2 linked regions of the Nothobranchius furzeri genome follow. The protein of the gene in region 1 purifies or fractionates together with the protein of each later gene. This does not show direct contact. Links are inferred from orthologs where the notes say so. Each region holds a gene or a part of one and is shown in the gene's direction. Other genes may lie near its edges.

Region 1 (8,989 bases):
TTGGCCCACTTTTGAACTAATAAAATACTAGCATTTCCTGCTCTTTAATGAATAAAATAAGTTTATTTTTCATCAGAACAAAGCTACAGTGCTTTTATTTTGATAGTGAATTTGCTAATTAGCATTTTGAAGGATCGTGAAGAGTAAAACTGAAACACACACAGCAAACTTTACAGTCTACACACGGTTATTTACAATAACACACAACTTTATATTATTTTATTTATTTTTCTTGTATAAAACATTACAGTTATTAGCTTTCTCCTCTAATGTTTGGAGTTTAACGGTTTGTGACGCAATGCATTATGGGACACTTTGCTTCCCAAGTCTGCAGAAGGATGCATTGATGCATCCTTGATGCAGGGAGGAAGAACACATCTGGGAACTTTGAGCGGTCTTGCCATGATGCATACTTAGGATTAGAACAGTCCTTGGGCTATTGCTGATGACGTTTTACAAGGACGTCAGTACACAAGTACAAACAAGAATGCATATTGAGAAACGACCATTCTTCTGAAATGTTAAGGTTTTTTTCTGTTTGGATTTTATTGACATATGACCTGAACTGACCTTGTTTCACCTGTTTTTGTTGTCTTTGGATATGTTTCACCTCTCTATCCTCCTAACTGCCTCTTGATTGTTCTTGGTTTTAGCTAGTGAGACTCCGGGCCTGACCATATGTGCATCAGATATGTTGATTGGTTCAGCAGTGGCGGACTGGTGCCAGACTCACTTTGCATGCACTGCCACCCCTCAAAAGCGCACACTTGGCTGAACTGGTTTGCGTGTCAAAAAGGGATGGAAGGGAAAGATGAGAGAGGGAGGCAGAGTACTGGCAAAGAAATAAAGAGCGAATGAGGAGGGAGGAGGCAGAGTGCCAAGACGGGAGTAACTGGAGCTAGCAAAACGCCATTATTTACCAGGACAAGGCTCAACTGAGATGCCATGTGGGGACCAAAATCATACCCCAAGATAATTGTGGATGTGTTAAAGCCAAAGTGATACTGACAGAACCTGTGGATTTTTTAGTTTTTGAACAAGGATTAGCAATTTGGATCACTTCCTGTCTACTTTTATGTCTGGTGTAGCTTTGATGCTCTGGGGTTAAGTTGCTGCATTTTGCAACTTTCTGCATCCTTAAAAAAAGCTTCAAATTGTTTAAAGTTGGATTCTGTGGAAAAGTAATACAAAGTTGACCTTTTATCTTTCTGAATGACTTGTTCTGCCCAGGTTGATAGGCTAACTGTTAGTCAAAGCAGGTTCGAGGTTAAGGAAAATCAACAATTAAGCATTTTTATAAATTTTTACTTCACCACCAGCTTCAGTTTGCTCAATTTGCCAAACAACATTTGCAAATGCAAATGATGGTAGCAGCCGCTAGCTGCTAGCCTGCAACATTTCCTGCAGGAATATCATGATATTTTTGTTGTAATAACTAAGAAATGCAAAATGTGGGGTGATTTAAGGGAGCTTATAAAGTTTATATAATAGGACTCACTTGACCTGTTATAAATAATAGAGATTAGAGTTGTTTTACAAAAGCGGTGATGCATTTTGGTCTTGGCCTCACTCAGACTAGCCATAGCACACTCCTAGTCCAAAGATTTTTCTACAGCAGGTAAAATATTTCTTTCACAGAATCTTTCTTAAAGAGATCTGTACTATCGCTTTGAGCTTTCTTTAAAAATGTATCTGAAGTAATTTTCCTCCTCCTTCTATTAGTCTGTTTTTGATGGATTTATTCAAATTATCTTGTTTTGTTTGTTGGAAGAGATTGAGACATTTGGAAAATGTTGGGGAAACTGTTGGCATGCCACAGATGAGTGATACTAATTCTTCCCAAAACGTCTTATGGACTAAGGTATTTTTTGGCATTCAAGTGGGTTCAACATTTTCCCCCATTTGTCTTTTCACTCTCTACCTCCCCTCAGTCAATCTACTTTATTTGCTTCATGTCTTGTACTCTGTGAGATTACTAAACCACCAAACCTCATGAAAGGAAGAGCGTGATTAAACACCACATCTGAACCCTCAATATGTTTAGTCATAAAGTAATCTTTGACCTTCAAAGCACATTGTCCCCATTTACTTTCAATAGGACATTTAATACATTGAGGGTAGGCTGGTTTGGTTTTTGTACACAAAATAAAACAATATAAAAAAATATGTTCTGTGCTGGAGTTACTCATAATGACACGTTGTGAGGTTCTGTCTACAGTCAACGCACATGGTTCATGTCCATGTAGATTTACTGCCCCGGTTGATGTCTTCACAACAGCCCAATGTAAAGAGAAAACTGCAATGTTCTTGTGATGTTGTGGTTTGCAGCTTTAGTAGGAGAATCTTTGAACACGAGGCTGTAAACCAGGAGAAATGGGAGGCATTGTGTGGTGTGGAGCCTGCTCTTAGTGGGGGTCGATAAGTAGTCGTGTCTTCGGTTGGTTTTCTTTTTTTTTTTTTTTATAAATATATTGTTTTTTTTCCCCTTTGGGGTCCATATAAGATGCTCAGCTGAATGTCGGGGGAGGAGGAGGATGGGTATTGGTGGAAAGACCACCTGAATCATACATGAGACCTGACTGTTGGATGTATGGTGACCTTGCTAACAGCCTGTGGTCTGCTAATGATCTGTGCTCCATGCTGTGCTTACAGATGGGAACTAACACACTTTGTAACCCTCCCCCTACACATTTTCACTGGCTGATGAAATTTAAAAATGTGGTGTAAATATCACTAATATTATGGGATTTCTTAATTCCACCATCTTTCCTAAAAGTGAGATTTAACCTTCTCTGTCAGAGTTTTTGTTCACCCTTACAATTGCCCCGAGGGAGAATAATTGCCCCGTTGTGACGGGGCTGCTGTTGCTATGGAGGAGTGTATGCGTGATTGAGATGTGCTGCTGTCAGCAAAAGCAGGCAAGCAAAACACAGATCGATGTGGGTCTACAGGAGCAGGGAAGGAACAAAGCGTGTGGGGTCTGTTCGTGCAAGGCTAACACCCCCCACCACACACACACACACACACACACTTGAAAGATGTGCTGCTCCTGGCCCTTTGAAGGACAGGCAAGGTGAAAAACATGGAGGCTCAATGGCAAAAGACTTAGACACTATCTCTAGGGTTTACAGAGAGCAGCAGTTGTGTGGACGATGACTCCTTGTTGATGTCAGATGTCAGAAGAGAATGGGGCAGATGGGTTCTAGACGATAGACCGTAAAAACAATATCCTAGTCCAGTTGTGTGGGAGAAATTTTCTTGACCCACCACGGCACTAGTCAGCATACTGCAAGAGACACAGACATGCAGTGTAAATCCGGTATTAAACACATACTGAATATCGCATTGGTGTTATTGTGTACCAGGATAATGCCAGTAAAACGTATACACTCGTACAGCAGAGGGGATGAAAGAGCTACAGTAGCCTTCTGTTTTACATCTGGGATGTCTCAGTTTGCCTATGAAGGAGCTGTCCGTGGTCTCCACAGTGGAATACAGTGGGTGGGAGGGGGGTTTTAGGATGGTGGTCATCTTCCCCAGCATTCTCCTCTCACACGTCTATTCAACTGTACCCAGAACCAAGTTAGCTTTGTGAACTAGCTTGTTCAGTCTCTTCGTGTCACGGTCAGAGATGCCTGCACCCCAACAGACCACAGCAGAGTGGATTTCCGAAGGACCTCAGTTTCCTCAGGAGGTGGAGGCGGCTTTGGCGCTTCTTATACAGATACTTATGCTTGGAAGGAACCCACCGATGCACCAGGAGAACATGCAAACTCCTTGCAGAGAGACCCCAAGCCGGGATGTGAACCTGGGACCTCCTTGCTGCAAGGCAACAGCGCTAACCACTGTGCAGCTGCTCTTAAATCATCAAATATCTAAATCATTCAAGATTCCTTTGTTTCTTTCTTCTCCCATCTTTTCTTCTTCAAAGGGACATTTATTATCATTTATGTTATAAAATGTATTTGTGTTATTTTTATTGATGCATTATTTGGTTGTTTAGAGAATGAGGCGCTACTCACCAGGTGGAATTCAATGAAACATTTAAATTACAGCAGCAATTTCACTATGGTAGACTTCTTCTAATTTGCCTAGGTAAACTCAGGAGTAACTGCTTCGTTTGTTAACAGGATACAGTGCAAGCAAATCCCTATGGTCTTTGACTCATTTGCTTGGCTCACATAACTACTTTTGGGAATGCAAATGATTGTCATTAACAAACCAGGAATGACTAAGTGTTATTTCCTCTCCCTCCTACTGATGACAGATTTGTCTGCTAAACACCACTCTGAGGAAACTTTGACGACTTGAAGAGACAGCTGGAACAACTGGAAGAGCCAGACTGCAAAGAGGCAACAGCATTTCCCTGAGAGCCTTTAGGACTTTCTGTCACTGCCACACAGATGTGGAACCCCCATCAGTCTGTCATTAAATAATCCGACAGCAGAACCAACCCAACCGATACATTACACAGACGTTTGTAGCCATGTCTGATCATAAAGACATGACGCATCGCCACCTACGGCACAAGCTTCAGAGTCTCGGCAGACGACTGGATGAACTGGAAGAAGCGACAAACAAGCTGCAGAAGTCCGAGGATGAGCTGTTGGATCTGCAGGTTGGTACTGGCTGACAATGAGACGAGTTAAGTGATGTAAACATTAATGAAACTCTTCTTCGTAGGACAAGATCATCCAAGCAGAGGGCAGCAACTCATCACTCCTTGGCGATGTAGAAACCCTGAGGAAACATCTCTTGAAGATCCAGGGCAAAGATGAGGAAGTACGCAAAGCTGAGGACCTTTGTCGCACAGTTCGAGAGAAACTGGAAGAGGAGGAAAACCTCACAAAGGAGCTAAAGGCAGAGATTGAGCGTCTGCAGCGGAGGATGGCTGAACTAGAGAAACTGGAAGAGGCTTTTAATAAAAGCAAGTCTGACTGTAGCCAGCTCTGCCTTAGCCTCAACGAGGAGAAAAACCTGACCAGGAAGCTCTCATCTGAGCTGGAAATGCTCAAGGCTCGTTTGAAGGAAGTGGAAGGTTCTGAAACAAGGCTAGAAAGAGCAGAGCAGGCTTTGGCTATGGAGCTTGAGAAACTGAAGGGATACACTCAGGCCTTTGTCAGTGAGCGCAAGAGGCTGTTGGAGAAACAGAAGGAGGATGAGAAAACCATTCTAAATTTGACAGAAGAAAAAAAGAAACACCTTGGCATATCGACAGAGCCAGGGCGTGCAGATTTCATGAGTTCAAGAATCGAGGATGAGCTGTCGTCCACTTACTCCCTCACGAGTAAGCTGGCTGGATACAAGAAGAAGATGGACTCCTTAAAACTAGATGAGAACATCAGCATCGTCAACAAATCGGACAAGAAGAAGATGAGCGGTCTTGGCGGCTCACAAGAGGACAACAAAGTAAAGGAGCTGACGCAGGAATTGGAGAAGCTGAAAAATCGCCTCAAACAGTTGGAGATAGTGGAGGAGGACTTGAAGAACTCAGAGTTTAAAAATGGAGAACTTCACGAAAAGTTCCAGATGGAACGAAATCGAGCTCGTCAACTAAGTGAACAGGTGGAGCAGCTAAGGACGCAGCTGTTCGGAAAAGGAGGGATTGGAGGCAACGGGGTCAGTCACCTGGAAAAGCACGGCAGTGAAGGCAGCAGTATTCATCCGAACAGTCCCGCTAAGGTCCTTGAAAATGGCAAAGCTGAGAATCAGGAGATCGTGAAGGGAGCTTTCAGACAAGAGAAACCTAAATTTAGAAGCGCTGCAGCTGCTTCAGAACCTAGCTCCCCTAAGCACAGGAACAGGGAGCTCTCCCCTCAGCACAAGAGAGAAACCAAACTGAGGAGCAGAGAGCTCAGCCACACCGAGGAGAGATCTCCAAAGTCTACGAGGAGAGCCCTCAGTCCTGCTATCAAGACCAGAAGGACACCCAAAACCTCAGCTGCTGCAATTGTGTCTGAAATTGGAAAACAAGATGGTGCACGGCTTACTGAGGAAAGGACACGAGGAGCCACGTACAGCTCCCTAAACTCCACTTGTAATGATGCTAAGAAGTTGTCTGTTCTGAGTCGCTACCCTCCAGCAGCTAATGACAAGAAGTCACAGAAGATTGTGAACAAACAGACTGATGGGGACCTGAAAAACAGCAGGGACAAGTTTTCAAAGCTCTACGTTGGTAGTGATAGCGAATCAAACAACTCTGATGCAGTGCCAGAAAGCTCCAGTGTCTCCGCGCTGGAGAAGGAGGTGGCGTCCGCCTCGGATCAGGAGTCTGTAGACCTGGTTCAAGAATCCGTGTCCGCGTCTGTGGCATCCACCTCATCCAGAGCCAACGGATCGTACGCGGCTTACAGGTCTCGCATCTCTCCGCTGCTCGTCAACGATCAGGGCTCAGACAGTCATTCCTCTGCTTCGGAAACCGAATCTATCAGCTCAAGGCCATCTGAAGTGGAACCCGTCACAGAGACAAGTGCAACTATTAGCAGTAGGACTGCAACCCCCAGGTATGCCAGATACCCACATGTCCATGACTCTCATTCAGAGGGCTCTTCTTCCAGGAGCTCATTTGACGAAGAGCTGCACAGTAGGACTCAGTCCTCGGACGGTGGCCAACAGGGATTCGTGCACATTCCGTCAGCGATGGAAATCCAGAGAGTGTGCAGCCCTCGGGAGGCGCTGAGGTCCAATGCCATCATCAAGCCCGCCATTGTTGAGATTGACAGGAAGGAATTGATGATTTCTGAGTCCTTGTCTACAAACGGCAAACCCAGTATCTCCACCAAGCCAGCAGTGACCACCACCAGTAAAATGACCAGTAGCATAACCATTTACCCAAACGACCCTGGGTCTTCCAGAACAAGCAGCCGCAGCAGCAGCTTGTCCAGCGAACCTTTGCCTGTTAAAGAACGCCACACGTCTACCAGTAACATCCTTATAGGTAGGTGTTTTATACAGTAATTTATTACCAAACTGATTTGGTTCATTCACACTAGTTGATCCAGTAGTTAGTAATGCACAGATTCTTGCTAAAGTCTGTTTGAAAGGTTTTTTTATGTAGAACGTTTATAATAAAGGGTCATGCAGCTGTTAGAAAAATGTTTTTATTTAACGAAAGACTAAAAGTTTCTGCTTAGAGTTTACAGGAAACTCTTTCTGTGTTCTAACTTTAACACAAGATTTGCTAGCTCTGAACGTGCACTTTGTAACTTTTGTCTCCCCCAACTGCCATTAAGGTAAATAATGCATTCTTTTAATATTTATATATGTTTTAATCTAAAACGTTAGGTTATGCATATAACCACTGTTCCCTGAAGGAGAGGAATGAGGTACAACGAAGGTACTATGGGACATCACGCCCTCGTGTGGCCTGGCTGAAGACACATTTAATCACGCCTGTAAGGCAAATGAAAGTGACGCTGCGTGGAGGCCCCGCCCTCCACTTATAAGCAACCGCGTCACTGTCATTCCTCAGTTCGATAGCCGCTCTTCACCGAGCTGGGCTGTGAATGGGGCAGCCCTGCGTTGTACCTCGTTCCTCTCCTTCAGGGAACAGTGGTTATATGCATAACCTAACGTTCCCTTTCAGTCGATTCACTCGGTACAACGAAGGTACTATGGGACTTATCGAAACGCCCCATGAGCAGCTATCAAACCTGGCCTCAGATTGCAACCTAAGATGGCAAGTCAGATCCTGCAGAGAGAACCGCACGGGCCACCGAAGGGGCCAAAACATCCAAGCGGTAACACCTCACAAAGGTGTGGGGTGTAGCCCAGCTTGCAGCTGAGCAAATGTCGCCAACTGAAACACCTTTAAACACCGCCCAAGAAGCAGCCACACCTCTAGTAGAGTGTGCCCTGACCCCTAGGGGTAGCTGGGAGCCAGTGACGCTGTAACACAGCGAAATGGCCTCCACAATCCAATGAGAAAGTCTTTGCTTTGACAAAGCTTTACCCATGGAGGGTTTGGCCAAACACACAGACAGTTGGTCCGAGTGTGATCTATATTAGCCTGCAGAGCACAAACCGGGCACAGACATTACAGTCTCCTCTGCTCCTCAGAGGCAAAAGGAGGACTTCTGAAGCCCGAAAGCTCTATGGTCATGGAACCATAGTTGAGCGGGATGACCTTAGGCAAATATGCAGCATTCGGATGCAGTGACCCTTAGCTCAATCTGATGACATTTTCAGACAGGAAGGGTGAACTGAAAGAGCATGAAGGTCTCCCACCCCTTTAGCCGATACAAGGGCTAAGAGCAGAGCTGTCTTATAAGACAGATGCTTCATACTGATCGATTCAATAGGCTCAAATTGGGGACCACACAGGGCCTCCAGCACCAAAGCGAGGTCCCAAGAAGGGGCAGACGATCGAATAACGGGTCTCAGTCTGCGAACCCCTTACATGAACCGAACGGCTAAAGGGTGAGCGCCAGGAGAAACTCCATTAAAAGATTCATGGCAAGCCAAAATGGCTGCCAGGTAGATCTTTAAAGTGGGGAATGACACGCCCTTGTCCAGCAGATCCTGTAGAAACGACAGAATGTCCACAGTGGAGCTCTGTGAGGGAACTACTGACCTGCTTAGACACCACACTTCAAAAGCCTTCCATTTATAGGCATATAAACCCCTTGTAGAGCATGCTCTTGAGCTCTGAATAGTTTTCACCACAGCTGGGGGAAGACCTTTAGCTAACAGGTTGGACCTTTCAGTAGGTAGGCCTGCAGCTTCCATAGATGAGGGCGAGGGTGCAGCACTTCCTCTTGTGCCTGTGATCGAAGGTCCTGTCCGATGGGGAGCTTCCATGGGGGGACTATCATCAGACTGATGATCTCCGGGTACCAAGACTTTGTGGGCCACTGAGGGGCCACCAAAATCAGAGATGTGCTCGACTTGTGCACTCTCTCCAGTACTGCTGGAATCAGTTCCACCTGCGGAAAAGTGTAGAGGAGAACGTTGGGCCAAGGGTGCGCCAAAGCATCCGATCCCATTGGAG
Region 2 (8,859 bases), on another chromosome or scaffold:
AACAACCTCAAATCTCTGGAGGCTCAGTCTGATAAGGTATCACCGAAGTTTGCCAGAAACTGATAAATACTGATTACTACAGCTGATTACAACAAAACCGTTTCCTTTTTGTGTTTAGTACTCTGAGAAAGAAGACAAATACGAAGAGGAGATTAAAGTCCTGAACGACAGACTTAAGGAGGTAAATTCTCGTCTCTTTGAGTTGCTCTTCGGGGTTGCTTCAGCACGGAAGAGGGTTAGGGCCACTGAAAAGAATGAAAAGTAAAGAAAGAGAATTCAGACTTTTTTTCCTCAGAATTTTGACTTTAATCTCAGAACTCATAGATTTTTGTCAGAGTTCTGACTTTTTATCTCAGGGTTGTTAAAGTTGGATCCTGAGGAAAAAGTCAGAATTCTCTTTCTTTACTTTTTTCTTTTCAGTGGCCCTAGTCATCTTCTGTACTACAGAATATTTAATATATACTAATAATATGTATTTATCTTTTTTTTTTTATTATTTTTAAAAGGCGGAAACTCGTGCAGAATTTGCAGAAAGGACAGTTTCAAAGCTTGAAAAGACCATAGATGACCTAGAAGGTTTGTGTTGTACTTTTATTTTTTAATCCATCCATACTGTCTCTTCCACTGAGCCTCTTCATTCCTTTACTGTAGTTAAGATTTAATTATCTTCACTTCTCTTTTTCTCCCTTTTGTCTTCACAATGTTCCTCTCTCTCCACCCTGCCTTCCTCCTTTCTGTGCCTTCCTACCTTCAGACGAGTTGTACACCCAGAAGCTGAGATACAAGGCTATCAGCGAGGAGCTGGATCACGCCCTCAATGATATGAACACCTTGTAAAACTTGTGTTTTTACTTTGTTTGCTTCTGTGTGGCATCTTAAAGGCATTTAGTCGCTTCTTCTCTCACCGCTCCTTTGTGCCTTTGTTCTGACCTGAAGCACAATAAAGATATTTTCTCTACTCTTTTTCCTCTTTCATTCATTCTTTGTCTAATCAACTTTTTGGGGGTTGCGTGTTGCACGAAAGTATAATTGCATTTAATTTTTGTTTACTCTACTTCTGTTTATTACAGAGAACCTTTCACATGCAAAAGAGGAAAATGTAGGAATGCACCAAGTCCTGGACCAAACGCTGCAGGAGCTGAACAGTTTGTAAAATGACAAGAACATCCAACAACGACGAAAACAAAAGAACTAGATTTTGTAAAAGAGTTTCCACATGCCATTCAATTCTTTCAATTTCACTCATGACTGCTAAACATTTTTATCCCATTTATGTATTTATGTTTTTTTTTTTGTTCATTTGTCTTTAAAAATGGTTTTGGGTCCAAACAATTACAGTATTGGTGCTAGGTATTGTGTTTTAGACCAAACGGAGCAAAAATAAAGTTCATGATTATGTCATTTTCAATACATGAACAGTAGTGATGAAGAGTGTCTTTTTTGCTGTTTGGTGTATTTATTTCTGTTGCTTTGTTGCAGAAAACCCGCTCTCAGACAGCTTACCTGTATGGACATGCAGTTTTCAGTGCGTTCCGTTATTCCAGTAGTTGCCTAATCTTTGTTCCCACAACTGTCACAGCACTGAATTCTGATTTTATCATCAGATCTGCATCATGACTGTGTTGTAAAGCCTAGTAGTACTAACTTCATGCTTCTGCTTCTCACCGCAAAAAAATTATTGAGCTTAAAACTCGGCTGAAAATGTACATTTCAACAACAAATTCAGAACCCCGCCCCAAACAACTTTTTAAATAAATGGTTTGGGAAGATGTCTCAGATAGAATTGTTTTGTTTTTATATTAAATTGATTTTTTTATATCAGGGTAAAACGTGTATAAGTCAGAACATTCAGCCCTGCTTTGGTAAGATAATTTGAATGAGCTGTTTTCTTTCATTCAATGGCAATAGTCGCTGTCTACTATGAAGAGTTGAATGTCTTAAATAGTGCAGCAGCGAAGAAGAATGGAGCTTTTAGCATGTTCACAGTTGCAACATTGTGCACGTTATTTTAATTGATAGCAATTTATTGAATAAAATATGTCATTGCGTTCAGGTAGCGTAGCGATCATAGACTGTAAATACTAGGTAGCGATGTACCATTAGAAAGGTTTATTTTTGATTTGTTGTAATGTCACTAAATCGCCACCAGGTTGCGATAAATTCAGCGGAAACAGCAGCCAAAGAAAGAAGACCTTAGCACGTTGGCATGTTCACAGTTGCGACAGTTTTCTTTTTGAAAGTTCTCTTAATTTATAGTAATTTATTGAATGGAATTTTTGTTGCGTTTTACATGATTAGTTTACGATGTTATGATTTTTGTTCCATCAGGAAGCGTAACCATAGAAAAGGTTTATTTTTTAATTGTAATTTCAACTATTTACCACCAGGCGGCGACAGACGTCACACAAGCAGCGTCAAAAAGTCAAGGAAGAGAAACCGTTTTCTTTTCCTTTTGCCTTCTTCAGATAGCTCTCACTGAAAGCTACAATTGATTTGAAAATCATACATTCATTCATCCATTTTTGGATGGATTTTCAACAGATTTTAAAATCAACCCCTCCTAAACATTTAGAGCCAAAGCTAAGACTTACCTAATAGGTGAAAAAATTAAACCCCATAATTAGAAAAATAGGCATTTTTAAAAAGACGTCTTGTCTAAGCTCACTAAATCCCCACAAGAGGGTGACATTTATCCAGCAATGTCGTAATAATAAATGCAAACAAAAAAAGTAGCACCTTCTGTTGTCACAGACTGAATGATTATGTAAAGACACAATATTTTGGAAAAACCTAATTCTACGTTTAACTAGTTGGAATCAAGGCGCAGTCCACTGGATCCGCGCTACCTGTCCAGTGACCTTCCAGTGCGCGCTCCTGACAGACTCCTTGGCTCTAATTAGCTTGGCTCGTATGCTCGTAACCAATATTTTGTAAACGTTCGTGTATGGATGATTGTTCATTTCCCAGCCATTATATAAAAATAAACCAACATTTTCTACATGAAACTTTCTGCCATGTGAACCAAGGTTTTTTTTCTTTCCACTGTTCCTCATTAGGAGCCTTAATCATTGCAGTTGCGTGCTCAATCTTGTTTTTCAGACGTAATTCAGTCAATTCTCTCAGCCTGATGTCATTCCATATGGCCTTCCTTCTGTCCTGTTGGATGTTTACCTTTGTCAAGTTAAACGTCAGCACCGGAAAATAAGTTATGCTAGATTTCACAATAAAGTTTAAAAGCATTTAAATACACCAAATCTATTATATACTTTCCAATTTTCCAAACAAAACATACAGACCAGAATAAACTGAATAAAACAAAATTCTTACAAAATTTATTTTTAAAATACCACATTTATTTCAGGTTTTAAATACTTATTTTGACACAACAAACCGGAAGCGTGTTGTTTGGCTGTGGCTAAACTGAAACTGCTCAGACCAAAGATCCGCTCGCCCAGTTCCCAGGATAAGGAATGCAGCGCTGGTAGCCATCCATACCGTGAGTAACTATTTTGTTGACTTCAGATTCTTAGGGTTAACTGTGTATTATAAAAATGTACTTTTAGTATCTAACAATAAACGTATTTATGCTAAAGTATCAGGATACGGAGGTGTGGTGAAAACAAAGACATCCCGGCCGGTGTTTTTTACGCTAACTTGTTAACCAGTACAGCTAGCTGTCGTCTGTGGCCACGGTTTAATTTAGTTCTTCTCATATCATTCTAAATATGTTACTATTGAATAGATGTTTGTCGACTTTATTCTCCTAGCTGCGTGTAATAAAGCTCTTTAGTCGGGCTGTTTTTATTAATAGTTGTCGGTGAGGAAGGTCTGTGTTGCTGGCTTCTCTGACACAACAGCCGGATGTTGTAGCTTATGCTTTTGCAAAAGCCCTTACACTATACAACTTATCTGCAGTTGTTCTAAACAAACTTTAAAACATGTCTGTGTGGACAAATTCCAGCCCCTTTAATCGAGCCAGAGTTAGCTGGACCGGGACAGGAGGTGATGTCAGTAGGACTGGTATGCAGAGGTCTGACATCAGCCTAAAGTCTCTGAGAAAAAAAAAACACTGAAGCTGTGTTGATTAGAACCAAATAAGGAGGGAAGAAGTCAAGGTCATAAGGGGTGATTTACCATTTTTGGACTGAACAATACTCCGATGCTTTGTAATGAAAGCTTACAGCTGTAATCGTCATATTGATTGTGTTTGTGCCACATTTTTAATCGTCAGTATGTTATTATTTACGTGCGTCTAACTTTTCTCCTTTGCTGTAGGAAGTTTTTAAGGCATCTCTCCCATCATTGTTCGAGTCAGCACCATGGCTGGCTTCAGGCAGGAGGATGTAGAGCTGTATTATGAGATGGGGGAGGAGCTGGGCAGGTAAGAACAGCATCAAAAACATCATGATGCTTTAAATTCCTTCTTTTTTTTTTTTCCTCAAATGTGTGCTTGGAAAAAAACAATTGTGTAATTCTGAGAACTGAAGGCAGATCAGGCACAAGATGCTCAGTTTCAACCTCATCTGACCCAAAGCTCAGCATCCAAACTGGGCTAAATAATTTTTGCATTGCACCAGCAACAATAAAAATAATCCTACATCCCTTTATGCTGTGCTGGACAGTTCTGGAGATGAGTCAACATTTTTTAAAGATTAAACCCACCTCTCTGTATTAGCTGGTTTTCTTCTGCAGTAATGCAGCAAAAGTGTGACATCAAGTCCACCAAGTGTGTCCTTCCACCTCGGCTTTGTCTCCAAAGATGAGAACGCTGTGAGTTTGCCAAGACAAGCTGCACATATTAAGTGATGGAGAATGGACTGCACTGTAAAATGCTGTGTGCTTCTTTTTTCTGTTGTTAAATTGCATTAATCTAAACTTATCTATTTTCTGGTAGATTACCTCCTCATTTATTGGGCAGTTTAAATCTCACCCTAAAATATTCTAACACAATTTGTTGATGCAGCGTCTCTCTCATCCTTTCCCTCTGCAGTGGGCAGTTTGCCATCGTCCGTAAGTGCAAAGAGAAGAGCACGGGTATCGAGTATGCAGCCAAATTCATCAAGAAGCGCCGCCTGTCGTCCAGCCGGCGGGGTGTGAGCCGTGAGGAGATTGAGCGCGAGGTCAACATCCTGCGGGAGATCGAGCACAGCAACATCATCACCCTGCACGATATCTTCGAAAACAAGACGGACGTCATCCTGATCCTGGAGCTGGTGTCCGGCGGGGAGCTGTTTGACTTCCTGGCTGAGAAGGAGTCTCTGACCGAGGAGGAGGCCACGCAGTTTCTGAAGCAGATCCTGGACGGAGTTCAGTACCTTCACGTCAAACGCATCGCCCACTTCGACCTGAAGGTCAGCAGCCTAAAGGGAAGCTGGGGATGTAAAATATTTGGCAGAATCAGAGTTTAGACGTTTTTATCAGAACTACTAACGAGCACGACTTTAATGATGTTTCTCAGAGCGACAAATATTGATTAATGATATTGGAACAACAATTAAAAATGTTTTCACATCATTTTCTTTTATTCTGCTTTAATATTTCAGCCTGAGAACATCATGCTTCTGGACAAGAATGTGCCCAACCCCAGGATCAAGCTGATCGATTTTGGGATCGCTCACCAGATCAAAGCTGGAAACGAGTTCAAAAACATCTTTGGAACACCAGAGTTTGTCGGTAAGAACCCACAACCTAAAATTCAGCTGACGTTCTTCCAAGCAGGCCTCTCAGCTAAACCATGTAGAGTGGAAGATTTTCCCCCTCAGATCACATCTGGTTTGAATTAAAGCGCTCATTCCTCTGTTCTTTACAGCGCCAGAAATAGTCAACTACGAGCCACTTGGCCTGGAGGCAGACATGTGGTAAGATGCCATTCTGTACCTTTTTTCCCCCCCTTCTCATCAGAAGTTTTTTTACTAAACCGTCTGATGCTTCCCCTCCTTATTTTACCTGTCTCCTCTTGTCTGCAGGAGCATCGGAGTGATCACGTACATTCTGTGAGTAACGCATCACATCACGTCTGTCTGTTGAGTCACTGTGGTCTTGCGAGGTCTACATCCAACTCTGTCCCACCTTAGGTTGAGCGGCGCATCGCCATTTCTGGGTGAGACCAAGCAGGAGACTTTAACCAATATTTCTGCTGTTAACTACGACTTTGATGAGGAGTATTTCAGCAACACCAGCGAGCTGGCCAAGGACTTTATACGCCGTCTGCTGGTCAAGGATCCAAAGTAAAATATACACTCCTGTCTCAAATTTGCGTATATTCTGTAAAAGAAAACATCAGAATTATAATCTAATAAATATCTTGGTCTACTTATTTTCAAACTGATGGATAATTGTCTTTCACAGGAAGAGAATGACAATAAATGAGAGTCTTGAGCATTCCTGGATTAAGGTGAGCATTTTCGTTATCTTCTAGGAAAAGTGGATTCCTCAACATTTTGCCTTCCTTGTTGGGTGTCACTTTTTATTCCAGATTATATATATATTTTTCTCCTCCAGGTGATCAAGAGACGGAACGTTCGGCAGGAGGACAGAGACCACAAGACGGAGCGTCGGCGTCTGAAGACCACACGGCTGAAGGAGTACACCATCAAGTCCCACTCCAGCATGCCTCCCAACAACACCTACGTGAACTTTGAGCGCTTCTCCCAGGTGCTTGAAGAGATAGCAGTGGCAGAGGAGGGCCTGAAAGAGCTGGAGCGCAACCAGCGCTCCTGCCAGGAGGATGTAGTGGCTCTGCTGTCCATATATGAGGAGAAGGAGGGCTGGTACAAGGAGGAGAACCAGAGTATCTCTGCCGACCTGAGCCACATTCGCCAGGAGCTGCAGCGCACGCAATCCCAGCGCAAGAAGTGCCAGGAGGACACCCGGCAAACTATGCAGAGCGCCAACACCCTCAAGCGCAAGTTTGGGCGGCTGGAAAACCGCTATGAGGTCCTGGTTGAGCAGGTGGCCTCTGAGGTTCGCTGGGTGGAGGAGCTGATCAAGTCCGTGTCCATGGAGATGGATGGTTTCGGTTCTGGCAGCATGCCCTGAGTAGGACGATGTCACACACTGTCATCTTCCAACGCTGTGCTGCTGCTCATCTGAAACACTCCTTCCTTTGTAGGTCAAGAGGATAGAATGTTGAAGTCATTCCCATACATTTTATAAATTAATTTATTATTTTAGACCTTTGATGTTCTGTAAATCAGCTGTTGTTGCAATCTGAGAGTTGGAATGCATCTTTTTTACCACTTTATTATTTTAAGAACTTTTTTAGTCTTTTTTTTCTTTTTTTCCAAGTTTGCATCATTATTTAAGAAAGTTCCCCAATATACATGTACAATACTAGATTTATGAGGGATTCAGGGGTATTTATTCATACAGCTACATGCTTTTGTTGGTTTCAGTCGACATTTAAAGTCTCCCTGATGTCTGGACTGAGACTTTCAGCACAGCTTTAGGGTAACGCTTTGTTTTACAGGTTATAATTTATTTAAAAGTGGTTCTCTTTTATGTTAAATTGGTGCCAAATATTGTCTTCCAGGAATTATTCTCGAAAATTATCATTAAATCAATCTGAATCAGATTACAGACCTGTAAAGTAAAGCTGCCTGATTTGGGAATGTATAAACTAGTATTTGCAGTGCCTGAGGTGCCTCGCTGAGCGATCACCTGCCATCAAGCTAACAGCATTTTTGCCACATTTAGTCTTAAACTGCAGCTGCTTTTGCACAGTAGTCATGTAAACCAAATGGTGCATGGAAACCTTTTCAGTGTATAAACTGCAGGATTTATGCTTCATCTCTGCACATGCAATACATTCCATCAGTTTCTCATCTAGCATCTACATTCCCTGTAAATATAACAAAAAGCATATATTATATATGTATAGTCTGTAGTATCCTGTACTCATCTGCACTTCTAATAAAGCAGTGTTTCAGAATTAATTTTGATGTGTTCACTGACTTCAGAGAAGATTGTGAAAAGCTGTCTGGGCCTGTTTCAAAAAGAATTTTCACTGAAGCAAATTCTTACTGAATTGCTTAAAATTCACTTTAATGTGCCTTCATAGGTGTTTTCATTAAAATCGTTTATAGTTTACAAGATTTGCTGAATTCTGCTTCTTTTTGGAAGCTAGTTCATGTGTAAAAAGCTGAAATGAGTATAAATGCTGCCCTCTGCTGGTGGTTTGCTGAAATACAGAAACCGTTTCAGATGAGAAATTTTAAAAATCCATTTGATTTAGGATGAACTCAGCGGGATTACATGAAAGCTGGGAGCTTTTCCCAAATATTGCACCAAAACAATTCCACCTTTACCCTTCTCAAATCACAAATTTATTTTTTTAATAACAGCCAATAAATGTGTCTGTTCTGAGTTATTGTAGAACCTCTAATTATTACTTAGGAAAAAATTAATACCAGTTAATTCAGTTTTCATTCATTGTTGAGGCTATTCATGTCAAAACTTTTAATGATTTTAAATATGTATTTAAGTTTGTTTCATCTTGATAAATATCTTGAAAAACGTGCCTGTTTTCTGTTCCTCTCCCAAATTATGAGAAAACAATTGCCAAATTTTTCACGTCAATGGATCAAAAGCAAATTGAATGCAGAAATATGTGAGTATATCATTCTTTCTTCCACTTTACTCTCACTATTAATTTATTTAGGTGTTTAAACCTAATAGGGATAATGGTTTAATAATACATTGATGTGGACTGACATGAAATGCACATGGTGAAGTTTCAAAATAAAAAATTATTTACCTGAACTGTCTGATTATTTGTGGGGTGGATGATGGAGTTAGCCGTTGCCATGGTTACTACAGTATTGATCGTTCACTGCTTGAATCATGTTATGTATTTTAATC

Evidence for each region.
Region 2: the proteins of luzp1 (region 1) and dapk3 purify together in Homo sapiens (affinity purification with mass spectrometry; 3 studies listed by BioGRID and IntAct, with this or other methods). This does not show direct contact. The link is inferred for Nothobranchius furzeri from reciprocal best matches to the Homo sapiens genes LUZP1 and DAPK3.

The regions. Positions count from the first base shown.
Region 1 is NC_091758.1:27,126,117-27,135,105, reverse strand, and holds the start of luzp1 (leucine zipper protein 1), read left to right. Parts: upstream 1-4,284; 5' UTR 4,285-4,486; coding exon 4,487-4,618; intron 4,619-4,683; coding exon 4,684-6,937; intron 6,938-8,989.
Region 2 is NC_091751.1:45,571,917-45,580,775, forward strand, and holds dapk3 (death-associated protein kinase 3), read left to right. Parts: upstream 1-3,379; 5' UTR 3,380-3,496; intron 3,497-4,275; 5' UTR 4,276-4,319; coding exon 4,320-4,381; intron 4,382-4,990; coding exon 4,991-5,351; intron 5,352-5,543; coding exon 5,544-5,673; intron 5,674-5,809; coding exon 5,810-5,858; intron 5,859-5,966; coding exon 5,967-5,993; intron 5,994-6,074; coding exon 6,075-6,227; intron 6,228-6,348; coding exon 6,349-6,394; intron 6,395-6,501; coding exon 6,502-7,038; 3' UTR 7,039-7,237; downstream 7,238-8,859. Other genes in the region: tropomyosin alpha-1 chain, read left to right, coding at 1-36, 119-181, 507-576, 1,071-1,153. UniProt on the Homo sapiens protein: Serine/threonine kinase which is involved in the regulation of apoptosis, autophagy, transcription, translation and actin cytoskeleton reorganization. Involved in the regulation of smooth muscle contraction.